2 linked regions of the Arabidopsis thaliana genome follow. The protein of the gene in region 1 binds, or shares a complex with, the protein of each later gene. Each region holds a gene or a part of one and is shown on either strand. Other genes may lie near its edges.

Region 1 (5,329 bases):
TGTAGTTTACTCGGAGATTTCTTCTCCTTGTGTTCCGGTGAAACCTGGAAATCATCGAAATTTAACTGCCAGGAACGGTCACCGTTACCGTGAAACTCGAGCAGCGAGATCCCTTCGTCGGAATCTGGACTAGCTGGCTCAACCATTTTTCCGGCGGCGGAGAGAGACTTTGTATTTTTTTTTTTTTTTTTTTGAGAGAGAGAGAGAGTGGTAAGGAAATGGGAAATTTGAAGAGACGGCGAGGGTAAAATCGGTAATTAAGAAAGATTGAGGCTAGCTACTACGACTGTTGTGGTAGTAAGACATTCCTCCACAGAGATACTTGGACCAGCCTTTAGAAGAGACGTCTCTGCTAATTATCCACGTGGCGTTCTCTCAATGGATTTGGGATCTCGCACGTGATTGGAGGAGTCATCATACACACGTGTACAGTTGAGATTCAACTGCAATTAAACGACCCCGTGACATGACATGGTTATGAGTCACATATGTGCCCTCTCAAACTCTATTATGTAGTATAAAAACTGTATTAGATACAACCGACCCAAGATATAGAAGAACCTTTGAAAAATGGTAGAAGCCAGTTCAGCTAAAGCTTTCTTCTTCACAATTATCGTAAAATATTAGACATGTAGAGCAGGCTTGTTGTTCTCTTATTGTCAAGCGTAAGTAAATGATTATTGTTTAGTTTCGTGACCAATTGGTTTGTTTTTTGGTTAGCCATTGTTCGATTTGCTTTGGTTTGGTCAAAGATTGTATGCTTTCAAGTCAAACCAAAGCTGACTAAATTTTATTCTGTAATAATTTACTTTGGAATGGCAAAACCAAAGAAAGGTCATAGACACAAGAGAAGAAGCAAATATGTTTCTTACGCCAAAAGACACGTTTGTATGGTAAGACAAAAGACACGTTTGTATGTTTCTTACGCCAATACCATTACGTTAAAAATAAACTAGTAACTTAAATTTACGCTCACTTTCTATTTGGGTTTTACATGATGATTTTGGTCAAAGGCCTATTTACAATGTTGCAAGCCCATATTATCTTTTAAGTATCTTTTTGTGCAACCAAAAGAATCAGTGATCTTATGCTCATTTTCATTTTTTTCTAATGAAATTTTTCGTCACTTATGGCTTATGCGTCCGATGGACGATTATGGTAAAAGGCCCATTTATTCAATCCAAAGCTTACTGGGTTAGATGATGATTGTGGTAAAAAGGCCCATTATAGACCCAACTAAGTATCTTAGGGTTTCAGTTTCCACTATAAAACTTGTTGCGGCGTAAGTTAGGGTTTTGAGAATCAGCGGCTTCACCTCTCCAGGTTCGTGTCTCGATTTTGCAAACTATCTCTCGAAATCGTCCTACATTTCTTTCTTCAGATTCATTACTGAGCTTCGCTTTCTGGGTTTCTATCTAAAAATTTCACAGATTTCGTGTGTGAAGAATCATTTCAAGCCATGTCTCCGGCTAAAGGTACGATCTTTTCATTGATAACCACTTGAATCTTCACTGGAACATGATGGATTTGGATCTTCTTCTACTAGACTTTAGTTTTGCTGAACCCGCTAGTATCTGGTCTCGATTAATGTTTTCTAATCATGTTTCGTTAGGTGATTAGTTTCAATATCTTCCTGATTAGCTTCAACTAAGTGAGATTAATGTAGTATCCAAATGAATTTTGTCTGTAGACGTGTTTCTGAGTATTCATGTATTGAAGTCAGATTTGTATCAAAGTATTATATGATGCTTAAACTCTCTGTTGTATGTAATTTGCAGTTGATACTACCAAGAAGGCTGATCCTAAGGCCAAGGCCTTGAAGGCGGCAAAGGCTGTGAAGTCTGGTCAAGCCTTCAAGAAGAAGGACAAAAAGATTAGGACCAAGGTCACCTTCCACAGGCCAAAGACTCTTACCAAGCCTAGAACTGGTAAGTACCCAAAAATCAGCGCTACTCCAAGGAACAAGTTGGATCACTACCAAATCCTTAAGTACCCACTCACCACTGAATCTGCGATGAAGAAGATTGAAGACAACAACACTCTTGTTTTCATTGTTGACATTCGTGCTGACAAGAAGAAGATTAAGGATGCTGTTAAGAAGATGTATGACATCCAGACCAAGAAAGTGAACACACTCATCAGGTACTTTAAAGAGTATTTTTCTATGAAGCCTTGTTGTGAGATTGATTATGTTCAATATATTTGACACTATGGTTTGGTTTTGTTACAGGCCTGATGGAACCAAGAAGGCTTACGTGAGGCTTACACCAGACTATGATGCTTTGGATGTTGCTAACAAGATCGGCATCATCTAAGTCTATCTATCTCTGCAGTTATAAAGACTATTGTGGTTTTGTCTCTTGTAGTCTCAGTTTTGCTTTTAAGATATTTATTATTACTATCATCTGGTAATTGTAGTATTTTGGAGCAAAAACGTTTTACAATACATTCATGTTGCAGTTTATTGTTGAATTCAAGTTCTATGTTTTTGACTTATCAAGATTCTCTTTTTAAAACTCACTAACTTATAAACTGTAAACATACAAATGCAGTATCTTCTCTAACCAGTAAATGATCATAAATCGATCTATCACCACATATTGTTTGCATCTTTCATTATCCTTTTATCCACATGTTGATGAATGGAGAAGTCCGAGAAATGACGAAAATCAGAAATTTCTTATCCACATAGAACACTAAGGCAATGTTCATTGATCATCAAAAGTCTTGTGAATTGTAGCCACTATGGCAGTCTCCTCACTCTCAATCCGCTGTGGTGGTTTCTCACCAACAATCTCCCACAAGGTTAATAACACTGTTCTGATTCCAGTCTCCATTTCTGAAAACTAAAAATCATTATTGTTCATTGATTCATATTTCTTACCAGACAGAAATTCTCTGTCCAAATCCATCACTCAAAGCTTGTTGTTTACTTTCATCCGGTGGTAAGGCCGACTCCTCGGAGAGTAGTAAGAAACTAAACTCTTGTGACATTTTCCTTCTCATACGTAATACATTGACTTGTGTGGATTGATTTTTATTAAAATTCAATAGCTTACCAAAAAGGCAGCGGAAACAATTGGAAGAGAAGGCAAGCTCTTGTGGGAGTAGGAACTTTAGTGGCAACTTCAATTCCAGCAACTTTGCTTCTTGCTGAAGGTAATCTGCAAAACTAAGGGTTTTGTTTTTGCCTCTCTTCTTCATTCTTTTGGGACCAAAAGCCTAATATGTTGATTCATATCATGTTTGCAGAGATACCAAAAAGCTACTCGCCTTTTGTGGATCGAGAAGACGGGTATTCTTACTATTACCCATCAGACTGGAGGGTGGGTAATGGCTTTGTTTCCATTTTTGTTGAAAGAATGAAACATAAATGAATTGAGAATATCTCTGTTCTGCCCTTACTACGTAGGAATTTGACTTCAGGGCACATGATTCAGCCTTCAAAGATAGATACTTGCAACTGCAGAATGTGCGGGTCAGGTTCATACCAACGGAGAAAAACGACATCCATGAAGTAGGTCCTATGGAAGAGGTATGTATTACACACCTTACTTTCCCTCTACCATCTATGTCATTAGAGAATTCACATTGGTTCATCATTCTTATATATGTTCATCAGGTGGTTTATGATCTAGTGAAGCATAAGTTTGCAGCACCAAACCAAGTAGCTACCATCTACGATATGAAAGAGGTCAGATGATTGTTAACATCTTAAAGAATCATCAAAGTTGTTGAGAGATTGGATCTTTATAAACAATAAGAGATGAAAATGCAGAGGGTGGAAGATGGAAAGAACTATTACACGTTTGAGTATGGACTAAGAACTCCTATCTATGCAACCACTTCCTTTGCAACAGTGGCAGTTGGAAACAGTAAGCACAGATTATAAGAATTATGAGATAGATGAGAGAAGAAATTGAGGAATAAACAAGTGTTATGACTGATTTGATGTTGCAGACAGATACTACACTCTCATAGTTGGAGCAAATGAGAGAAGGTGGAGGAAAGTGAAAAAGCAGCTTCAAGTTGTGGCCGACTCTTTGAAGATCCTTCAGATTTGACAAACACAAGAAACATCTTACTCCTATATATCTTTCTCTCTCTGTGGTTACAAAACTGTCTGTAGATAACAATTTGATATTTTCATATTCTCTATAACTCCAACGATGGTTTTGGCATTGTGAGTTAGATTCTGAGTTGGTTCAGTAATTCAATCAAACTTGCAAATAAAGTGGAAATAATGTATTTACAAAACAGACATATTTCTTCCTAGCCATTACACACTTCTCCACCTAAATCACTCACAACAACAAAAAAGCAAACCTCAGCAAATAAAATTGCCTCTAATCTTCAGTTTCAATAAACAAATCGATATACCTTAAGAGACCAATCAATGAATAAATAACACAGTCCTACTTCATTGCTTAGCCTCCTGAAAGAATAAGGGAATCTAACGTCTACAAACTCCTAAGTTGCTTACAGAAACTAACCGTGGTTGTACAACTTCTGCTCATCTGCTGTCATCCCGGACCCGATAAGCCTTTGATCAGATGCATGTCCTGTAACTACATCCAATAACGTTATCTCGTGGCATATCACATGATGGTTGGTATGTGACTGAACTAATCTCAATTAGGCACATGAGTCCAATCTCTTTTAGATCAGTTGATGTCGCCGTAGATTCTTGCCAAAATGTGGTTGCATTAAACGGACATACAATCCGTTTTTACCCGCTAAACAATCATGCGTACCTTCCTCTACTATTTTGCCTCCATTGAGAACCACAATGTTATCCACATGTCTCATCATCGCTACTCTATGCGCTATCAGAATTGTTGTTTTGTTCCCCATTATCAATGTATCAAGAGCTTCCTGCACAACACGGCTCGACTCGGATTCGATAGATGAACTCGCTTCGTCAATCAACAGTATTGGAGCATTCTTCAGCACTACCCGAGCTATAGCGATTCTCTGTTTTTGTCCTTGGGTAAGCTCAACACCTCTCATCCCGATATGTGTGTCGTATCCGTGAGGTAAGCTGCTGATGAAATGGTGGGCATTTGCAATCCTTGCTGCTTCCTTCATCTCAGCTTCACTTGCATTGTGCCTTGCGTATATAATGTTTTCTCTGATCGTTGTGGAAAAGATTATGGGTTCCTGTTGAATCAGACCCATATGGCTTCTTAACCATCTCAAATTATATGACTTCAAGTCTCGCCCATCTAATAAGACCTGACCAGCAACTGGGTCGTAGTATCTCTCGATCAACGATATTATTGTGCTCTTTCCAGAACCAGAAACACCAACCACAGCTACTGTTTGTCCG
Region 2 (5,665 bases), on another chromosome or scaffold:
AGTTTCTTAAATCTCTCTTCAGTCCACCGAGAGTCGAATCGGGAACAACGGATGGGGATTTAGGGTTAGTACTGCCAGATTCGGCCATGTCTCCGATCACTAACAGTGGTTTATTGGACTTGATTTGAGAAGAATCCGTGGTTGCAGTAGAAGCTTCTAGGGTTTTGAAGCAGCTTGAAGTGGGAGAGAGGAGAGAGAGACGTGAGACACGCACGACACACAGACTCTTCAAGTAGTGGGAGCGTCTTTATAGAAAAGTGAGTGGCGCGACTTACAAATAAAACCGTCCAGCTTCCCGGCCCCAATTTCGTAACTCACAGGCCCATCTGTGTTATTAGAGCAACCCTAATGGTTAAACTTTTAATAGGTTTTTTCCAATTTTTTTAATTTTAAAATTTGAGATTTGAATTTAAGAGATTTTGTTGGTCTCTTAATTTTTCTTGGTTTAATGGTAGAAATTTTTAGTGAGTTTCTTATAGTAAAAAATATTATTAAAATGAAAATTATAAATATTCTATTTTATAAAATTTAATAATTAATACAAATACTAAAATTTTAAACCTACAAGAAATGAATATTGAGAATCGGAATAACAATTAGTAGTTAGTTTGATTCCCACCAAATTTGTGTTATATATGCTCAACCAAATCACCTTTCAATTGTTGATGCATAGCCCGATCACGAACTCGAGCACGAGAGACCATAAAATTACCGAGATTTGAAGACATATCTGTAGAGTAGTTAAAATAACTTGTGAAGAGATGGTTGATTCTGGTAGTATGAATTTAGATGCACCAAACGATTTTTTTCAATTTAGTCTTTGATTTGATTATTACGCCCTATGATGAGGAGCTCGACACATATCATCTTTCATCAACATTGACATCGCCATCGTAAATGGAAATAACGAAATGAAAACAATTCAACCGAAATGAAAAGAAAAAAATTGGGTCATATTTTTCCTTCTCTTCCCTCTCCACCAATAGAAGTTTGCCATGTAGGGTCCCTTTGTTGTTTGAAAAATACCGTAAGAGAGAAACAACCCTCTCAATTAAACTGATTTCTAATTTATTTTGGGCTATATAATTCAAGGGACCAACCCTCAAAAGCCCCTTAGAGGCTGCCGTTGGAGTTGGTCTCAGATACAAGGTTTAATTAGTTTTAACTTGCTCTAAAGCCTCTCTACTATAACTTTATTACATTTTGTTTAGTAACAAATGACATTCCCTCTTTTTCTCCCTTTTTGAAATAAATATTCTTTAGATTTACACAATTTTGTTGTTTTTTAGAACTGTTCATCGAAAAATTTCGTCATATTGTCACTAAACTTTTGTAACTTCTAAGAAATTTCCAATATGTTTTCAAAATTTTACCATATAAATACTAATTTTAAGAGAAAATTTGTATCAATAATATGGATTAAAACATGAAGTTAGATTTTTTTTAAAAAGCTTAAAGCCCAATTTTTTTAAAAAAATTGCAAATAATCAGTCTTGAGAATTGAGCATGTTACCAATTCATGTTATACGGAATTAACACTGAACTATATTTCGTTTAACCGTTAAATTATACATGGTACAAAAAAATTGATGTCGTTTACTACTATATAAATATTGTTGATGCCTTTTACTTGCTTGAGCCCAAGATCAACTCTACCTTCTATTTCCGTAATGAATGACAACATATAATCTTATAACTGTATTAATTTATAATTTTTTTATATGACTCGGTTAATTTCCGCGCGATGCATATTTTGTTTTGAAAAAATATTTTTGATTTGTATTTATGGTTTTATTTTCTTATATTAAATAAATATCAGAAATAGTGAACACACTATTTTCTTATAGTAGGTTTGTATTTTAGTTTATGAGATTAGTGTCATTTTGATACGATGAGTTTTTCTTTGTTTGCACTTTGCACAGGTAAATATGCTTCATAGGATCGGCTGACCTGACCCACTCAAAATTGACTCGATGCGAAGCCACGTAACCGGCAGGGGCATAACTGTAAATAACCATGGAATGTATTTCTCAGACTCTTTCGTGCTATCACTCGCTCATCGTCACCTTCACCTTCACCTACCATTTTTGCCAACAAACGCGAGCAAGAGTTTTGAGCTCCAATGGCGACCTTGTCGATGACTCTGGTGCGTTTAATTTTTCCCTTTTGTACTTTTGATTTTGTTTTACCTTTCCGCTTCTTCTGCTTCTCCTGCTCTAATTTTCGGTTATCATCATAGTCAAATCCGAAGTCGCTCTCAGCTCCTCCACGAAGACTTTCTCCGATCAATACCTCCGCTTTCACATCTACCTCTTTCCGATTGCGCACCAAATCTTCCTTCGATTCAATCTCGTTCTCGTCTTCAACTCCCTTCTCCGCCTCATCGCTCCTCCTTCACACGTCTTATACCAAAAGAAACCACCGCTGTTTCTCTGTTCAATCCAATGCTGAGGTTAGGGATTCTCTCATATCTTGTTAGTCACTGATGTCATTTGATGGAATTGGTTGTTTTATTCAGCTTACTCTTAGTTTTTTTTTTCCATTAGATTTACTAAAAGCTATGGAATCATAATATGATGTGGATTTTGTATTCCAGGTGGTTACTGAACCGCAATCGAAAATAACACACAAGGTGTATTTCGATATAAGTGTTGGCAATCCAGTGGGGAAGTTAGCTGGGAGGATTGTTATTGGATTGTATGGTGATGATGTTCCCCAAACTGTGGAGAACTTTCGTGCTCTATGCACAGGTGAAAAGGGATTTGGCTACAAGGGTTCTACATTCCATCGTGTCATCAGAGATTTCATGATTCAGGGAGGAGACTTTGAGAAGGGCAATGTGAGTTTTTCTGGCTGAATTCCTTGGCAGCACCAGTTTCTTGTTAGCTGACTTGCGGTCCATATTATGTTTCTTTTGATTTACTTTGGTTCATCTTATTTTCTGCCAAATCACAAAGTAAAGTAAGCTGTCTCATATCAGGATGGCAGGATGTTTATTAATTTCTTGGATGTGGTACATAGTATAAGTCAAATCTTTCTCGATAAGGAAGGATGCTTAAGTTCTTACTTGTACGGATTTAGAGTCGCTCTTGAAAGCACATGTTTGGGTACATTAATAGGAAAAAGCCTGACCTTTGGAGAGCTTTCTACAGACAATCTTTCTGATAGCTGGCTCTCTGATTTGTAGATCAGTGGCTTTAGAAGAACAACCCCTGTTAATCTTAGACTTTTGTTCTTTTCTATATAGATAATACCTGGGCTGTAGGGAACTTATATACTGGTTCGTGGGTATGCAACTAGCTGTAGCTCGGTAGAAATATATTGTTATTTTCTGTTTCTGCCCATCTCAGTTACCGAAGATTCTTCTAGTAACTGCTAGGAGAATTCCATAATAATGATACAGAAGTCTAATTGTTGAGCAGGGAACTGGAGGTAAAAGTGTATATGGCCGTACATTCAAGGATGAGAATTTCAAGTGTAAGTCTATCCTTTTTCACTTGTTTCCTTCTTCTTCATTCTCCCCAGCTGTGCTTTAGCATTCATATTTATCAGTGGTAATGCATTTTAACTAAACATTTCTGCATTCTCTTTTTAGCTGAGCTGAGTATAATATATACCAAACCTTCAGTTTTATAAAATTCATGAAAGTAATAATGTGCTATACGCTGCAGTATCCCATGTCGGACCAGGAGTTCTAAGTATGGCAAATGCTGGCCCTAATACAAATGGAAGTCAGTTCTTTATCTGCACTATTAAGGTAAAATCTCCCTCTGGTTAAGGCCTATTGTTAAATTAGAAGTTATACGTAGGCAAGCGAGCATCAACAATAAAGAACACAGGTATTACAGTATATAGAATCCAATAATATAACCTAAAGAGTAGAGTTTTGAAATTGGAAACGAAGAACCATCCAAGCTTTGTTGGGAAATTTAGTGTATATCAAATTAATATGCGATAACGATGTGGACAGACGTCATGGTTGGACGGAAGACATGTGGTGTTCGGGCAAGTAATAGAAGGAATGGAAGTGGTGAAGCTGATAGAGGAACAAGAGACAGACAGAGGAGACCGTCCCAGAAAGAAAGTGGTGATAGCAGACTGTGGTCAACTTCCAATGTCTGAAGCTTAAAAGTAAGATCATTTAACCAAAATCTTGTAGACATGAGATGGAGCTTGTTTTTGCATTTTACAACCCTTTCTTTTGTGTAATGGATTTGTATCCCCTTCTTCCAAAAATTTAAGAAAGAAATAGTATTCCGCTGCCGGGTGTTGAACTCATATTTCATTTCATTGGTTTGTTTCGAAATTAACCATTGTGTTATAGCGGTTCAGTTGCATTACTAAGATACAAAATCTGAAGATTCAAGAGTAGTCGATGCAGTTGTGAAATTGGTCTGTGTAATACAGCGGATTTGTTGGTTTGGTATACGAGCAATTTGTATTTAAAGTCCGATCTCTTCATAAAAAAGTAAGAACAACAATTGAAACAAAAAATATTCCGCTGCCCGGATTTGATCCCGGATTTCATTTTGAGTAGTGAAATTGGCCTGTGTGCTACAGCGGACTTGTTTGATTTATATACGAGGGATTTGTTTTTAAAGTCTGATATCTTATTGAAAACAATACTAATTAAAATAATAAGTATTCCGCTGCCGGGGTTTGATCCCGGATTTCATATTGAGTAGTGAAATTGGCCTGTGTGCTACAGCGGACTTTTTGGTTTTGTATATGAGTGATTTGTATTTAAAGTCTGATATCTTATTGAAAACTAACTAATTGAACCAAAAAGTATTACGCTGCCGAGGTTTGAGCCCGGATTTCAAATTCTGTTGTGAAATTGGCATGTGTGCTACAGCGGACTTGTTGAACATGTATCCGATCAATTTGTATATAAAGTCTGCTTTCAGATTAATGAACAATATAATTACTTGTACCTATCACATGTTTGTATTTTAGTGTTCTTTCTTTTTGGTCAACCTTTTCTAGATACAAGATATCTCTGAATACTAGAAGAGCACACCATAAAAAGAAGACATTTTCCTTGTAGAGAATAAGAGAAACCCCTTTGGTTTATTTATTTATTAAATGGTACATAACCAAATTGCACAAATTAAAGCTGTAAAAAGAGGCGTAGAAAAAGCTTGAATCCTAGATAAATCTATTATCAATGTAAAAAAAAGAGAATACAAACAAGAAAATGTTTTACTGGTCAATACTGACGTCACCCCATTGCACCTTGTGTTTAGCAGCTAGATAATGAGCACCAACAGGACCACGGCTACCATAAGGATAGTACTCAGGGATTCTCTTCTTCTCTTCAATCTCTTTAAGCAATGGAGTGAATAGCGACCAAGCTGCATCAAGCTCGTCACTTCTTATGAACAATCTTCTTTCTCCTTCTATTGCATCTAACAGAAGCCTCTCATATGCATCTGGTATCTCCTTTGAATACCTTGCTGAGTATAGAAGATTCAAGTTACTGCGATCTAATCTCATTCCTAAACCAGGGACCTTGTTGTTGATTTTCAAATAGATTGCTTCATCTGGTTGGACACGGATCACAAGCTCATTTGTAGCTTGATCAAGATCAGAACCAGTATTCCGGTTATACAAATTCCCCGGAACATGCCTGAACTGCACCCTTATCTCTGCACTGTAATTTTAC

What was found. The genes of interacting proteins can lie anywhere in the genome.
Region 2: PnsL1 (region 1) and Pnsl5 share a complex: the UniProt entries of both Arabidopsis thaliana proteins name them as parts of the chloroplast NDH complex.

The regions. Positions count from the first base shown.
Region 1 is NC_003071.7:16,473,590-16,478,918, forward strand, and holds PnsL1 (PsbP-like protein 2), read left to right. Parts: upstream 1-2,608; 5' UTR 2,609-2,745; coding exon 2,746-2,805; intron 2,806-2,887; coding exon 2,888-2,969; intron 2,970-3,054; coding exon 3,055-3,159; intron 3,160-3,252; coding exon 3,253-3,326; intron 3,327-3,412; coding exon 3,413-3,535; intron 3,536-3,622; coding exon 3,623-3,694; intron 3,695-3,778; coding exon 3,779-3,875; intron 3,876-3,960; coding exon 3,961-4,064; 3' UTR 4,065-4,254; downstream 4,255-5,329. Other genes in the region: MTP11 (Cation efflux family protein), read right to left, coding at 1-146; RPL23AA (ribosomal protein L23AA), read left to right, coding at 1,460-1,475, 1,779-2,142, 2,231-2,315; ABCB6 (P-glycoprotein 6), read right to left, coding at 4,660-5,329. UniProt on the Arabidopsis thaliana protein: NDH shuttles electrons from NAD(P)H:plastoquinone, via FMN and iron-sulfur (Fe-S) centers, to quinones in the photosynthetic chain and possibly in a chloroplast respiratory chain.
Region 2 is NC_003076.8:4,161,178-4,166,842, reverse strand, and holds Pnsl5 (cyclophilin 20-2), read left to right. Parts: upstream 1-1,919; 5' UTR 1,920-2,122; coding exon 2,123-2,146; intron 2,147-2,239; coding exon 2,240-2,452; intron 2,453-2,596; coding exon 2,597-2,839; intron 2,840-3,422; coding exon 3,423-3,477; intron 3,478-3,671; coding exon 3,672-3,757; intron 3,758-3,970; coding exon 3,971-4,129; 3' UTR 4,130-4,469; downstream 4,470-5,665. Other genes in the region: AT5G13130 (Histidine kinase-, DNA gyrase B-, and HSP90-like ATPase family protein), read right to left, coding at 1-88; G6PD2 (glucose-6-phosphate dehydrogenase 2), read right to left, coding at 5,203-5,653. UniProt on the Arabidopsis thaliana protein: NDH shuttles electrons from NAD(P)H:plastoquinone, via FMN and iron-sulfur (Fe-S) centers, to quinones in the photosynthetic chain and possibly in a chloroplast respiratory chain.